Nothobranchius furzeri: one gene and its partner. The protein of the gene in region 1 interacts with the protein of each later gene in a biochemical or structural test. Links are inferred from orthologs where the notes say so. Each region holds a gene or a part of one and is shown on either strand. Other genes may lie near its edges.

What was found. The genes of interacting proteins can lie anywhere in the genome.
Region 2: the proteins of xiap (region 1) and pgam5 form a complex in vitro, tested with the Homo sapiens proteins (2 studies listed by BioGRID, with this or other methods). The link is inferred for Nothobranchius furzeri from reciprocal best matches to the Homo sapiens genes XIAP and PGAM5.

What each region holds. Positions count from the first base shown.
Region 1 is NC_091741.1:25,546,628-25,554,566, reverse strand, and holds the start of xiap (E3 ubiquitin-protein ligase XIAP), read right to left. Parts: upstream 3,961-7,939; 5' UTR 3,802-3,960; intron 2,657-3,801; 5' UTR 2,607-2,656; coding exon 2,367-2,606; intron 2,281-2,366; coding exon 1,755-2,280; intron 1,653-1,754; coding exon 1,553-1,652; intron 1,464-1,552; coding exon 1,385-1,463; intron 1,078-1,384; coding exon 1,038-1,077; intron 1-1,037.
Region 2 is NC_091757.1:31,873,565-31,881,379, forward strand, and holds pgam5 (serine/threonine-protein phosphatase PGAM5, mitochondrial), read left to right. Parts: upstream 1-2,902; 5' UTR 2,903-3,126; coding exon 3,127-3,356; intron 3,357-3,694; coding exon 3,695-3,867; intron 3,868-3,938; coding exon 3,939-4,064; intron 4,065-4,158; coding exon 4,159-4,247; intron 4,248-4,759; coding exon 4,760-4,893; intron 4,894-5,174; coding exon 5,175-5,325; 3' UTR 5,326-5,572; downstream 5,573-7,815. Other genes in the region: palmitoyltransferase ZDHHC8B, read right to left, coding at 1,578-1,681; ankle2 (ankyrin repeat and LEM domain-containing protein 2), read right to left, coding at 7,139-7,346. UniProt on the Homo sapiens protein: Mitochondrial serine/threonine phosphatase that dephosphorylates various substrates and thus plays a role in different biological processes including cellular senescence or mitophagy. Modulates cellular senescence by regulating mitochondrial dynamics.

The DNA.
Region 1 (7,939 bases):
CTTCGTTTAGACACAAACGTGTTATGGAGGGAAAAAAAGCATGCTCGGTGCTGCACACAGACAGCTGGTGTGATCAGCTCAGAAAAGCGTTGATCAGAATCTGCAGATCACGTTTATTTCTCACGGAGATCGGCCGCGGATTCCTCTTCCGGTCGGCATTCTAGTCATCGAAATAAAAAACTTTGAACGATTCCGGGAAAAACTCACGGTTGGTACCGGTTCCAATCGATCCTCGATGCCCAACGTGTGAGCAGAGTATCAACTAAAATGCTGCTCAGAAACGATCAAATTCAAAGATCTTTAGAGACATAAAATAGTTTGCAGAAAAAAAAAATACAAATAAATGAAATAAATGTGTTTCAGCTGGCTAAATAAATGACTGCCAACACCACCCAGAGTCGAACCAGCGTCAGCAGAGGGCGAAACAAAACAAAAGTCAACCAGTAACACCACTGGACTACCATAGATAATACAAAACAATGCTTGGAGCGGCCATGGGCAGACATTCGCTGTAAGGAACCTTTTCATTTTGGGATATAAATTCAGACCTTGTCCTGTAGTAAATTATTTTTATTTTGCCTAATTTGAACATAGAACAGAGTATTAACAATTGTAACAGTTGTAGTTCATATGTGCCTGACCACTGGCCCGACGCCGCCCCTTTCTGCTGCTGCAGCAAGGTGTACTTGGATTAAGGTGTTAAAAAAAACAAACGCAGTGAGGAGATAAGTTTCACTTTTGGTTTTAAGACTGTGGTTTTATAACGGACTCTAGGGGGGGCTAAAAACGAGCCAAAAGTTTTCATTTAAGGGACGCTATAAGACCCTAGTTGCTCCAGCAAAGATTAATGGAGTTGTTTAGCTGAAAAGAAGGTGCCCAATTTTTTTTCGCAAAACAGGCGGCGAGGATTTTCTGTTACACAAAAACCTGTATCCAGTTACACTAGCCTGGTTTGATATATTTAGATAAAAACAGCTTAATAAAGCTTTTTTTTTGTATTTTATAATAAGAGACACTGTATCAAAATATATATTTACCATTTTCAGCGCCCAAAAGCCCATTCTGAGGATTTGAGACCTGGAAGCAAAAACAGGTTATTATTTTCCAGCTTGAACAAACCAAATTTACTAATGATTCAGGGCATCACAGTCATTTTCCGAGACCTAAAGAGAAGTACATTTGGTTCCTTATGTTCCATAAAGTTCACTAAAACACACCAAATACAAGTAAAATGATTTAAAACACAATTCCAGCTGATTCAAACCTTTTCATTGTTTATTTTTTATAAATAAAGGGACTTGGGAATCAGATTGACAGGTAAAGTTACAAGCTATGGTTTGTCATATAATCACAATAGCAAGAAAAAAAGAAGGAGATTGCTTACAGCTCTACTTTGTTTGGGTCCATTTAGTTGGATGCTGTTGACAAATTCTACTCCTTTTTCTGCCAACAAGAAGCTGCATCTAATGGGGAAGAAAGTTACAGCAGCATAAATAAAAATGTCTCCATAATGAATTTTTATTGCCAAGAAAAGACAGATGTTTCCTCTAACCCTGGGTAGTATTTGGCGTGTTGTTCCCAGGGGTCTTCCCCAGGCTGCCAACCTTTCAAACTCCCACCACAACTGAAACACATCACCCTATCTCCCATTCCTGTAAGCACAAATCAGATGTGTCAAAACAAAATCAGAACAACGATATAACAGTGACTCATTTTTGTATGAGTTTTGTCCACAGATGACGATGGCGCTGTACCTAAGCTGTAGAAGCCCGCCGTGGCGAGACTCTTGTGGTCAACAGGGAGCTGGAGACCAGCAAAGCTGCCAAGTCTCCCCTCAAAACTCTCCATGGAGACCTGAGAACTGCTCTCCTGAAGCGGCACATTCCCCACATCATGCCCAAGTATGAAGAAGCAGTTTGGATAATGTTTGGAATGTTCACTCCAAGCATTGTCTTCTGGTTCCCAGTCACTCAGCTCGCCACCACAACAGAAACACCGCACTCGGTCAGCATTCATCAAATAAAAGAAACCAGCTTGTGCCAGGTCTCTGGGTCTCATAAGAGAATCAACGGGCCACGAGGAAAAGGTCTGAAGGCGGGCTTCCTCAGACGCCATCTGAGGGGCTTTAGGGTACATGGTGTCGTCAGTCACGGCTCCAGTTAACAAACGATACTCCATGTGTTCTGCAGCCTCGTTGTAGCCATTAGTGAGCGGGTTATGAAAGCTCGGGTTGAAACTGGTTCGGTGGCAGCATTTGAGAAACAAGCACGTTGGAGAAACCTGTACCAGGAAGAGAGATCATTATTTAAACCTCTAAAGCAGAACAAAAAGTCACAATCGTTCAACACTTTGAATCCATGATCTACCTCCTTGTGCCGCTCCACAGGCGTGTCATCGCTGGTCCAGTTCTCCACAGTCTTCTTGCAGCTGAAACAGCGGACGCGGTCTGCGTTGCCGGTGAAGTAGAAGCCTGCTCGTGCCAGTCGTTCAGCTGGAACTTGCTCAGCCAGGATGGAGCGGCGGAAGGAGTTCAGGCGATTGTTGAGCAATGAAAAATCCATAGCACCATCTGATTCCAGATGCTCATTTTCTTCATTATCACACATAATTGAACTAGGACCTTCCTGGATAGATACAGCTACTGAATGTATGAAGTCTGAGGAGAAAGACAAGCAGATTTGAAGGTTAGTCAAAAGTCCTAAATGTACTTGAATTAAAACAACAGGGAGCTGGTTTGAGCATCCAGGCTAAGCCTTTGGGAGAGGCAGCCAGGCTATAATCACATGCTGGTGCTGGATACTCTGTGTGAGGCATGGGAACAGGAAAGGCGGTGCAAAGGGCGTAACCTGATACAATCTACACTAAAGCAGCATTCCTAAATAGATTATACACAACAGTGACAAACACTGATAAAGTATTTGCTGTAATAAGGAGTCACAGTACATGCTGTACACGGGCTAATGACCCAAGATCAAAGCACGCCAGCTAAGAAAGCAGGATGGGGGGAATAGTTTTGCCACCTCTACACTGGCACATGGAAAATGTGTTCTCACAACCCAAATACTCAGAAAGCCCACTACATGGTGGAGGCTTAGTCCTAAAACTGTAACATCTAGTATGATTTTATCTGAGATGCTTTATTGATGAGGATCAGCTTTTGATCTTTGCACTGTTGTTGGCAATCTTTATAAAAAAAAAAAGTAGTCACCATGATCACGAGTGTGTCACAACTTAATGTGTGTTTAACCGTATGACAAACATGCACAATTTACGATACTGCACCATGGTGCCTCCTGGCATAATATAAAGCCACTTCTTTAAATGGCAAATATCTAAAACGAAATACAAATCTGCAGCCTTCTTTTTTAATTACAAATGCATCAATATTGATTTTAAAACTACAAATCCTTCCAAATAAATAAAATATATTTATTATAAATGAAGTTTGGTTTAACTCTGATCTATTCCAGTTCAAATGTCAGAACTGTAGAATCCTGGTAGCCCTTAATGTGGCTCAGTACACATGAAGTAGCTCTCTATGCTGGTGACCCTTGCTTAAACGTGGATGCTCGAGTTACCAAAAGCTAAAAACTAGCCTATATTATTCAAGGACACGCATTTCAATAAGCCTGCATTCTAAAAATAAACACATCAGCTGCTTTGATGTAGGTGCGTAATGTCGAGATAGTGACTTTGGGTTTTGACAGTTTGCTAAAGTGTCAGTTAGCTAGCTTCGTTAGCTTGTTTGCTAATTTGCGCAGTTGCCTAAATCGACCGTAGCCGGAAAACTACGGTATTTACCTTCACGCGCCCCTTTTGGTTCCGGTCTTCAGCTTGTAACTTTAGTCTGTCTTTAGTGTGAACTTGACCTGGAGCAGAATAGGATGATTAAAGAGCTCAGTTTGTTTTATAAAAACTATGAGGAAGCGAAAGCAAAGGGAGGAATCTGGGAACCTAGAACATTTGGCCCCGCCTCTTCAGTCACATGATCAAAGTACGCCCACGTGGGTGTTTCACAGAAACATGCCGTCTACTATCAACTGCCAACATACTTTAGGGTTGCCTAAATATGGTCAGTAACCAGCAAAAAGCGTTCATTTAAAATTTTAATGTAATCCCATCATGCACCTCAAACAATGTCTGAAGGTCATAATCTTATACCTACAATATTAGTGACCATTTTTAATCAGGATTGTTAGGACAGTGGCGGTCATCTCTTGTTTTGAGGGCCTCCATGTTTATCTGAGGTTTATCTGCTCTCTCACCTGATTGTATCAGCAAGTAATTGAAAGGTTACAGAGCTGCTGAAGAGGTGATTCAACCGATGGACCTGGTGTTGGAGCAGAGAAACTCAAGGCACAGGGTAGGGACTGATAATACAACCTGCATCTGTCACCAACAGAAATAAATGCCAGTGAAAGCTAATGGGATACATAAAATAACTATACTCTTTAACAGTCATATATCAACCTGAGATAATTTTCCATATTGGTGATTATGCATGTCAACTTTTTGATTCAAACTAAAAGTTGCCGTAGTAGTCAAATAAAACACGAGCATTGGTCTGCCCCATGCATTTCCAGTAAATCGTTAGGGATTTTTTTAGGGGGTGGGGGTTCACAGGTATTCTTATAATTTAGAATGGAGAAGATACATTTTCTATCTCTGTTATGTTATGATCATCTTCACAGATACATATTTTCTAAGAAAACATAAACAGCATAGTTTGAATGTGCCTCATCAAGTTTAGCTTAGCTGTAACTTTACTCAGAAACTACCTGTGGTATAACAATAACTTCATAAACGATCACTTGGTATTCTAAAACCCACTCCAGTCAGGTTTTTGTTGAATCATCATTATTATGATGTTAGGTATGATCAGTCCACTTTTTCCGACAGGTGTGAACCAGCTGATTTTAGAGTTGGTTTGCATACGGCTGCTTTGAAAAGGGGTAATCTGTGTGAAAATGGCATGTTTTGTCTTTAGGTTTGGACCTTACAGGTCAGAGTTGTGTGGAAAGAACATTTTTCATTGTCAGGCATGCCAACATCTAATGCTTAAATTCAGAACGCCTGTTGCTCAAAAACTAGCCCAAAGACAATAAATCATGCTTGATTGGAAAGGGTTACTCAAGTTCTGCACTTATGCCTTTTTCATTTGAGTTCTAAATTGGATTATAATAATATAATAATATAATAGGATTGTTTAGAAGATTATTTTCCTTATTGTTTATGCTTGTTAGTGGTTTTAAAGAGGTTCTTAAAACATAGATAATGTTAACATTGGTGGTGCTGAAACTTAAACCATGTGTGCTTAACTCTCTGATGGGTATTTTAGGGGGCCAAAGACTGGCAGGCTTGGGAGAAACACCACAGAGCAATTTGTCAAACACAACTGTGAGACAAATGGACCCGTAAAGAACTGCTACAAACTGGGAGCGTACCATGTCACTGGCAAACGTAGCAGCCGGATTTACTCACTATCAAGAGTTCTGCTGGTTCTTTTAATTTCAAATAACATTTCAGAGTTTTTTTTATTGTACTTTAAACACATAATAGTAAAAGTCTTACTGTAAGAATGGTTCAAACCTTGGGGGCAGTAGAGACGCCTGTTTATTTTTGTGATCTACCCCCCTTTCTCTTTCATTTCTGTCTCCATGTCCGTTGAAGCAAAGAGCTCAGACATCCAGGAAGTACCCAGTAAAAGAAGGGTTACCAACCCCAGCCCTTGAGAACCTTTCTGATAATGTGAGCCGTTTTCTCACTTTGTGGGGTATGGGCATTGCTTTGGAGTGACTTTTCTAGTGTTAGCCATCTTGTGTTCCAAGAGAAAATGTGATTAGTTGACACAGGCCTAATATGGCATGTCAGAAAAGAATGCACTACAAGTATGGAATGTTTCAGAAAAATATGGAATGTCCCCTTAGATACCATGGGCCTGCCAACGACACATACTCAGTTTTCTTTGGTATACAGACAACAGCTTACATCTGACTTTGATTGACAACAGGCACCCCAGGGTCCCAGACCACTGAGTTCTGAGCTCGGTCTGCCCTGGAGCAAGTGGCTGCGGGCAGGTCTGGGGCCTCTGCCCTCTGACGTTCCGCTGCTGTTCCGCGCCGCTGGTGCTTTCAGTGTGAACCCGGGGTGAAGCAACAAATCAGAAAAATTGAGCACTTGTGGAAGAAAACCTGTCTCCACGTCCATCTGTGTCATCTAAAGGATCTTCTGACATACTTTAACTCTGCAGTCAGAGATGTGAGGCTTGCCTATTTCTCCAACCTGGCCTTCCAGAGCAAAGGGAACCCCAAGGTGCTGTTTAACACCATCAGCAGTATTGTCTCTCCTACAGCCTCCACCCACTCTGTTGCAGACTGTGGAAAATTTCTGTCTTTCTTTGTGGACAAAGTCAATAAGGTCAGATCTAGTATCCCTCCCTCAGCCTTATCGCCGCCTCTCCCGACTCCAACCAGGCCCATCATCCTAGATAGCTTTGATCCTGTTTCTTTGCCTGAGTTAACCAAACTAGTAAACTCTCTGAAGACCTCTGCATGCCCCCTCCACATCTTACCCTCATCTTTGTTTAAAAATGCTGTTCAGCCCATCGGTCACTACCAGTGTTATGTTTGTTTGTTTTGATTTTATTGACTATTGTAGGAAATGCCAACTCTCTCTTGGTATATGATCGCCTATCCCTACTGGATCTCCGACCTTCTGCCAAAAGCTGGGCGAAATGGAATCAAGCTGGACATAAAACTTTGCCCCCGCTAATATCGGAGATCCCGGCTCACCTGTGCCGTGTCCCAGATCCACCTCTCCGGCATAAGTACCGTCGCGGGGGTCGCCGGCTTCCTGGTGAAGCTGAAAGCTTCTTTTTGCTGTTCTCACAAGCCCTTATTTAGAAAACAAGGAGCGGGGTCTAACCTCCGCTTCTCTCGGCGATCGTTGGATCCTGTCTGTGCCTGGCTGGTCGGGCTGAGCGCAAATGGAAAAAGGACAAACTACAGGTGTCATTTATACATGTCTAATATACTGTTCACTAATACAACCATACATGGCATATTGTATAGAAATATGGGGTTCAACTTTTAAAACATATATACATGAAATAAAAACTATACAAAAGAAATCTATTTGAGTTATGAACAAGAGCAATTATTTTGCTCATACTGACCCGTTATTTTTAAAATCACAGATTATGAAATTAGAAGATCTATATCATTATAATATAATGCAATTTATGTTTAGAGTAAAATTAACAGCTCTGCCAAAAATTATACTAATGTTCTTTGCAAAGAGGGAAAGTAAATATGATTTAAGAGGTGTATGTATGTTTGTTCTACAAAAAGCCAAAAAGGGCATGAAAAGGAGATGTATCTCTGTAATGGGAGTAAAATTTTGGAATGAGGCTAAAATAGAATTAAAATTAGCAACTTCTCTTTCAGTTCTTAAAAAACTTATCAGTAAAAATATTTTTGAAGAGTATTAATTTGATGTTGATGGATGGATTTGTGTTTTACTTTTATTTGGGTTGTTGGTTCATTGCGGGAAATTAAAAAAATGTTTTGTAAGTAGGTTAGGCAATTATATAAGCTATTGCTTCTGCCTAAACCTATTCAGTCATGATATACCAAATAGACACCATATAAAAAAACAAGGCATATGTTAGTGAGAAACGGTATTTGTATCTAATTGTATGACATGTTAATGTACATTATCTTAAGATAACTGACTGAATAAATTGATCATTCATTCATTCATTCATTTCAGATGCTGAAGGACTGTTGGCGTCAATATCAACAAACTGTGAGAGGCCAAAAGAAAACACTTATCTGACATTATTTTGACTAACTGCCACAACCCGCGTGTTTTATTTAATACTATTAACTCTGTTCTTAGTGCACCGGTTACTGACTGTATTGAGCCCTCAGCTGAAGCC
Region 2 (7,815 bases), on another chromosome or scaffold:
TCCGCGGTCCACAAATGTGTACGTGCTAAAGTTTCAACCACTATTAGCCTTGTGACATGCCACGCTCCTACTGTTGCACTGAGGTCTTGTGTTATTTTTGGGCTTAGAGATTTCAGATAACACTTTTTGTGCTGTGGTTTTCTGGCTTACACTGTAATTCAACTTCCAACAGCAGCCAGAGAAAAGGCCAGACGAGGTTCACCATAGATGACCCTAAGTGTGTCTGAAAATGAGGAGGCTCGGCCTTGTTTGGATATGTGCTGCGTCCCGCAAGGTTCCATTGCATTACACACACGCGCGCGCACACACACACACACACACACACACACACACAAAAGACTCAATCCTGAGTTTTTACTGTGAAGAAGCAACATCTTAATCCCTCCCTCTGAGCCATCTGCTTAGGGATGAACTTTAAAGTCACATGCTAAAAAATGATGAGAAACAAATAAAAACAGTGTGACTCAGCTGCAGATCGTACGTTGAATACACTCACTCTGTATCGAGACTTGTAAATCAGGTCATTTGTTTATGCAAAGCTAAGGACAGAGCAGGGATTTTAAGGTGAAGCCAAAAAACACCATATGCTTGTCTCGGCCGCATGGAGTGAAGCTCAAACCATTTCTGGGTTTATTCTGTGTAAATGACACAAAACTTTCAGCTGAGGACATTTTGCAACAAAATGCAATGCATAATGTGTGCAAAATAAAGTCACATATCTTCAACAGCATGTGTCCTGTGGCCTCGGTGCTGTTAATTTTCTTTTCTTTTAATTATAAATGCAGTTTTATGTCATCACCTGACTCTTTAACACTCTGACATTAGTGCCTGTTGCTGGTGAAACCACCTCCCAACCTGTCCTTAGGGAATGCTGCAGATATGAAATGTGGGATGATGTAGATTTCACTGATAAATTGACAGCTATTACTACAGGCGAATGTCTGTGGGAGGGATGATTCAGACCTGAGGCATCAGCTGTCACTCACAGAGCTGACCTCCTCATTCATCAGCTGGACAGCCAAGGGGCCGAAGGCTTTCCTAGCTGTGGGATCTTGAGAGCCTTTATGGTAATGCCCAGTCTGCAGCCGTCGCTGCGTTTTAGAACAAAGAAATGCACATTTCCTGAATCTGCTTTGGAGAGACCTGTTGGCTCAAATCCATATCTGGTCACTGAAACACTCTGGAGGTTGCAGGGTGAAGCCCAGCTGGTAGGAGCCCCTGATAGGCCTGACTTTGATTGCAATGTCTACTACTGGGATGGTGTAATTATCCAAGTCTGATGGGCCATTTGAACTGGTTTGGCCTAAAAGCTGCTGACAGACCAATCCGTTCAACTTAAGAAGTTCTGAGCCTGCATAAGAAGGGAATGCTGCCCCATCACCATCTCTGATAGCAGGCTGTCAGCTGGAACAGATATTCCCCTTTAAACCCACTTATCCCATCTGAGTGACTCAATCCAACCGTGCAAACTTCCACCTACAATCCTGTCCTGTTTTAATTGAGCGCCCATAGTTTATTATTATTATTATTTTAACGAAAAATCCTGACAGGCTAAGGAAGAAGCTATGCGGACTTACGTGAAAACGAAGAATAAAGTGGTGGATCCCACCAGGAGTGTGGCAGCAGTGGACACCGGGATGTATTTGGTGGGTTTAAATCTTTTTCCAGCGCTGTTGGGCATTCTGTATTCTCCACATTCCTCAATTATTTATTATTCCGGTTGCAGGCGCATGCAGGGAAAGAAACGTCCGATCAATGTGCTGTAAAAAAAAAAAAGAAATGTATTAAAAGAAAACGGACGTCTATGTGTGGCTACGAACCGGGCACAGCCAGTCCGCCTCTGCTATCTCTGGAGCCGCATAGGTCCAAGACGCGAGGAGGCACGAACTCACTGGAAAGCCTCGAAATCCCTCCCTCTCTCCGGAACCAGAACCAGCCCACTGTTGAGGTCACCCAGCCGCCCCGAAAGGTGGAGCCAAGCCTCGAAGGCTGGATGCAGCCAGAAAATACAACATTTTAACAGCAGAATGCCTCTAAATGTTCTCATCTATCAATATGTGAGAGGTCTGCTCTGATTTGATGATGAGTGACACCAAACATTAGCTGGAATACGAAGGTTTTATGGTGCTTCGCTGCTCTCTAAGTATTCACAGAAAGATTTAAAAAACGTTTTGTTAAAGGAGAATTTCATCTCTTCAATTCGGCATAGTTGTTTTTTCCCAATCCTCAGTCCAAATGCAGATAAGGCAGTACAGTCGGGCAAGCAAATGTGTCATATAATAGTCATGCGGCCTCTTAAACGCAAAGGTTCCACCTTCCTCACTCATGTGAAGCTTCTGCTTTTGGACCCCGCCCCTCTCACCCTTGTCACTAGACTAAAATCTTATTACAAATTTCAATATGCTGCAAAACTATGTTAATGCATACACATTTATGAACAAAAACACCAACAGAAAATGATTGTAATTTCGTTTTTTCCCCTCAGAGAAATTTCTGATTACTTTCTTGGATGGTATGGCACTTTTACTTACTTCTGCTTTATGATCTTGTGTCTTGCGACGTTTAGAATGCTAGAAGTGAGGTGACAATATATGCTACAACGGTCTGCCTTACAACTATGAAGCTCCTAAAAGTAACAACCAGACAAACGTTTCAGCACTTCCTACAGAAAATTTCAATTACAAATCGGAGTAGCAGAAGCTCGTATGTTTAAGCTGCTGGATAATGATGTGAAATCGCTGAGGCTCACCAGAGAACCATTGTAGGTCAATGTGTGGCTTTAGCACCCTCGTGCGGCGGAGAGTAAATTCTAAAAGCACATGAATGATGTTTTGACCCAAATTGGCCACCGTAGTGTTTGTAGGCGTTCGCCTTTATTAGCTTACTCTTTCCTTACTGGCTTCTGTTTTTGATTTTAGATCTTTAAACGGCGTTCATTAGCTAACTGTGCTGCAGATACGTGGTTTTGTTTACGCTGTTAGAATTAGAATTAACAACCAGACGCCCTTTAGCAACAGAAAGGCGCCTTGTTTTAGGGGGAACAGCTTCACGCGTCTTATTTACAGCAGACGGGTTAAGCTCTGCTAATTAGCTAGCATAAGTTTCGCTTTCTCGGCTGCGAACAAGATGTCGTTCAGGAAAACATTTAAACTTATTTGTGGCTTCGCCGGCGGCTCGGCAGTCTTGGTGTTCGCTGCTAATGCAGCCGAATCTCGCGGATATTTGGGTGAGCGGCGCGGAGAGGGGCTGGCCAGTCGGTGGTCGAGGTTGACCGTCCTTCATGCAGCGCAGCCGGCGGCTTGGACAACTGTCACCCCGATTCCGAGTGGACATTCCTGGGACTTCAACTGGGACAAGTATGTTATGTTGTTGTGTCAGCACGGTCGTTTATGTTGTTGCTTTTATTACACACACATCATTGCATGTGCAGAATCAGTGGTTATCAGGATTTCAGAGGAAAATCCAGATAATAAAACATCCTCAGAAATAAAACTAGAGCCGGTAAATACTTATCAACTGTCTGACGGGAGCTGATTTAAATGATCAGTGGGTAAAATGCAGTTTTGTCAGAAAGATTTGGGAGATTTTCTTCAAAGTGACTCAGCTCATGGTCTTAAGTCACTGTTGGATTAACCCAGCTTTTGGTTCCTTAAATTAAACCACCTCTAATCTGAAAATAACCTGTCCTGTTTAGGAGAGAGCCATCCACGCTGTCCAATGGGAGGAAGAAGGAGAGCGTGACTGAAGACCCCAGCTCCGAGCAGGACAACAGCAAACCAAAAGCCACACGCCACATTTTCCTCATCAGACACTCTCAGTACAACCTGAGCGGAAGCAGCGACAAGGATAGGATCCTCACACCTTTGGGTACTTAACTTCAGGCAGACGGTATTCTTTGGAATGTTTAGTTTCTGAGGGATCTGTGTCCTCTCTCCCAGGCCGTGAGCAGGCTGATCTGACAGGTCAAAGGTTAGCAGCATTGGGTTTAAAGTATGACGTACTGATCCACTCCAGCATGGCCAGAGCTACTGAAACTGCACATATTATCAGCAAACACCTTCCAGGTAGTAAAGAAAGTCATTATAGTAAACAAGATTAGATGCAAATCTATATATATGTTTGTTTGTTTTCTTTAACCTATATGTTATTTGATTGCAGGAGTGGAGCTGGTGAGCTGTGACCTGCTTAGAGAGGGTGCACCAATCGAACCAGTTCCTGCAGTCACTCACTGGAAGCCCGATGCTGTGGTGAGAGAAGCTACACCAACGCTGGGCCCAAAACACAGCAGCTGGCTGGATTTTGTTTATTTTTTTTGTATTTGCATGTCAAGTTTGTGCAGCTCCTAAACTCAGCTGGTTTCATCCAATAATCAATGTGCTGGCACAGGAGTGAGTCACAGGATGAGTGACTTTCCCTCTGTAAAGCTCATTCATTTAGTGTGGGATCTTTTTACATACTTTGTGAGAATTTGAAGTGTTAATTTAAATTATGCTAAAAATTAGTTTTAGTGATTAGGCATTTGCAAACCAAGCATGGCTGCCCAAAGGGAAAAAAAAACCAGAGCAAAGCTTATCTAAGGTCTAGATCATTTAGGTCTTTAAAAGGGATCATCTGAAAGTTTCAGTGGTACTGTCTGTGTAGCTGGCCTCACGTTGGAATGAAACTCTTCATTCATTCCCTTCATGTTCTGACTGAGAGGCTCCAACAGAACCCTTTTCATGTGACAAAGACAGCTTTCAACCTCTCTGCCGTCCTCCAGCAGTACCATGAAGATGGAGCTCGAATTGAGGCAGCCTTCCGCCGCTACATCCACCGGGCTGACCCCAAGCAGAAGGAGGACAGCTATGAGATCATCGTGTGTCATGCCAATGTCATCCGTTATTTTGTCTGCAGGTTTGTGCCGGCAGAGGCTCAGCTCAGGTCCGAGCTTCAGCCTCGTTGCTCTTTGCTTTTGCGAATCTCTCTTCCTGTTAGAATGTGTTTATTATATATTGTCATGCACAACATTCCCCATCATCACTCAACATTTGTCAAAGTTTAATCAAATGTTTTCACACTAGTCTAAAGGTAGTGAGCAGGATCTAGAGCCTTCTAAATAATTTAAAACACTGCATTGAACACATCGGTTTATAAAGCAGATCTGCAGCACTATTTCTTGTTTTCTTTGTACTCAGGGCGCTCCAGTTCCCCCCAGAGGGTTGGTTACGGATGGGTTTGCACAACGGCAGCATCACCTGGCTCACCATTCGCCCGAGTGGCCGGGTGGGCCTCAGGACTATGGGCGATGCAGGATTTATGCCCCCGGACAAACTAACACGAACCTGATGGGTCAGCGCACCACGGGTTTTCTCTGCAGGGTTGACCCTCAGTTTCCTCTCCAAGTGTCTTGAAATAAACTTTTGATTCTTTTATATTGAATAACAGATTTGCCATGTTGTCGGACTGTGTGGTGCTTTTGTTGCGATTACTTGGCTGCCATCACCAACAGGAGTTACAAGCAACTCCTTCTGAATGTAACCTGGTTTTTGTACATAAGTAGGATTTTTTTAAAGCCAATAAAGGTCTATATGTACAGCTGTTAACATAGTTACTGCTGTTTACATCTTACATTTCACTGAAGGGGGCATCATTTGTTGTAATAGTGGTAAATAAATTAAAAAATGTGAAACTTTCTGGTTGTGCCTTACTTAATCAGACAAAAGCACATGTACAGTGTGAGTAATGCAGTGATTTATTGAGTCATTCAAAGCAAATCTGGTCAAGACGTACAGGGAGAACTCACCATGAGTTTTATTTTTAATAAAAGCACAGATTAGCTGAAAGCACAAGAAGCAGGTTTTTAAGTTTTTTAGGTGCGTTTTTGCAAAGTTCCACACTCACAAACATTCAGACCGGTGGCTGATCTCCTGCCATCCAGATAAAGGTTTAGTTCACACAAAATACATTCAAAACAGGTTTCTTTCAGCTTTAGTGGCCACTTGAATACTCAACATAACTGTCTGTTGCTCTAAAAGCAGTAAAAATGCATCCCAGCAGAACAGTTTAGATACAGGTTTGAATTACTTCACATTAGACTCGGTGGTTTTTAAAAATCTGCCACGTGAGTTTCCTGTAAAACCAACTTCAGCTGAGAGAATTTCAATAAAAGCCGTTAAAATCCCCCAATTAAGTCAAATTATATTGTTGTAAAAAGGATATAAAACTGGACATTAACACAGCACAACGCAGCTCATAAGGCAGTTTTTGTGGAGCTGACAAGGTATTCTCACATGTGGATTCCTTTAGGTTTGCCGCCCTCTAGTGATCACAGATAAAACACTTATGCAGCTTTGAGGTGGTCTTCAGGCTGATTTGGGATCAGCACACACGACTGACCTTTGAGTCACCATTTACACACAGGAGAGGTTTCTGACTGACTAAAACAAAATGGCACTGTTTAAGGCCGCCATCATAGCAAAAATAAATCGTTGAGACATCCAGGTACTACCAAGAAATGTGGAAAAAAGATATGCATTTATTAGATTAAAATAAAAACATGGAAGATCTCTCGTTTTGTTTTTCATACATCTTATGTACGAGTTAAAGTGTGTCTGATCCATCACTTCAGAACATTAAGGCAATTCCTGAACTGAGGAACAACACAGGAAATGGCAGTTGGGTTTAACCTCATTAATAAAAACATTTAAATTTGTGCTACTGACCAACATACAAAAAATAAGTTTTTAAATATTAATATTTGACTTGTTTTAGTATTTTTAACATCTTCTGTGACAAAATCCTGATGATTCTATTTTTGTGACCTAACTCTGGGAAGTGTGGTCCTCCAAAACCGTGACTCAGGCTGTCATACAAGTGTGTCGCCGTCGCCACAAACACTTTCAGCAAATCAACATAGTCCACACCCATACAGTACATGTAGTATCAAGTTTTTTTCCTTCTTTTTTTTTTAAAGTCTTGAGCTGACATCACAGCCTAAGGTGATGAGAATTCCTGTTATACATAGAAGAAGTACCACTTGTGCATATTCCTGTTAGGTTTGTGGTTGCTGAGCTCTGCTGCGGTCATCCTGGAGCAGCTGGGGTTGTTGTGTGTGTGTGTGTGTGTGTGTGTGTGTGGGGGGGGGGGGGGGGGGGGGCAGTTAGAGCAGTGGCTCGTTCAAGTGTCTGAGGCGGATGCGTTGGATGTAGCCAACGCTGGCGGGGCTGTAACGGCTGGGGCTGAAGTCTGGAGAGGCAGCGTGGCGGACGGGACTGAAGCGACCGGTGGGGGACATCAAGCCGCCGATGGGAGAGCCGGGGGTCTGATGCTGCATCCTGAGTCGTGGTTTCACCGCCGGGCTGGGCCAGCTTCACAACACACCCCAACATTAATGGTCAATTCTTTAGAAGTGCTTTGATATAACTATTTATGCAACACGTACACAACAATAACAGGCCGAATTTTCAGATCTAATCCTAATATTTATCAGACTACAATCTGATTTCATCACAGTCAAGTTGATCATACCAGTCATGGTGTTACAGAGCCCTTCAGTGTATGGGCCAATTACAACTCACCATTCCTGCATGACTACATTTATGAAAAATTCATAAAATTCTAAAAGAGCATAAAAACCGTGTTACATAAACAATTTACTTCTTTATTTTGAGAACAATATTACACAGCTCTGTTAAAATTAGCTGATAATTAGGGGAACAACATTATTTTATTGATTTTTTATTTAGGTCAGTCTTCACAAATCAGAGGCTGAATGGCACAAACGTCCTTAAAGCCTCAGGAAAAGTAGTTCCATATCATGCCACTTTAAATCTCTGA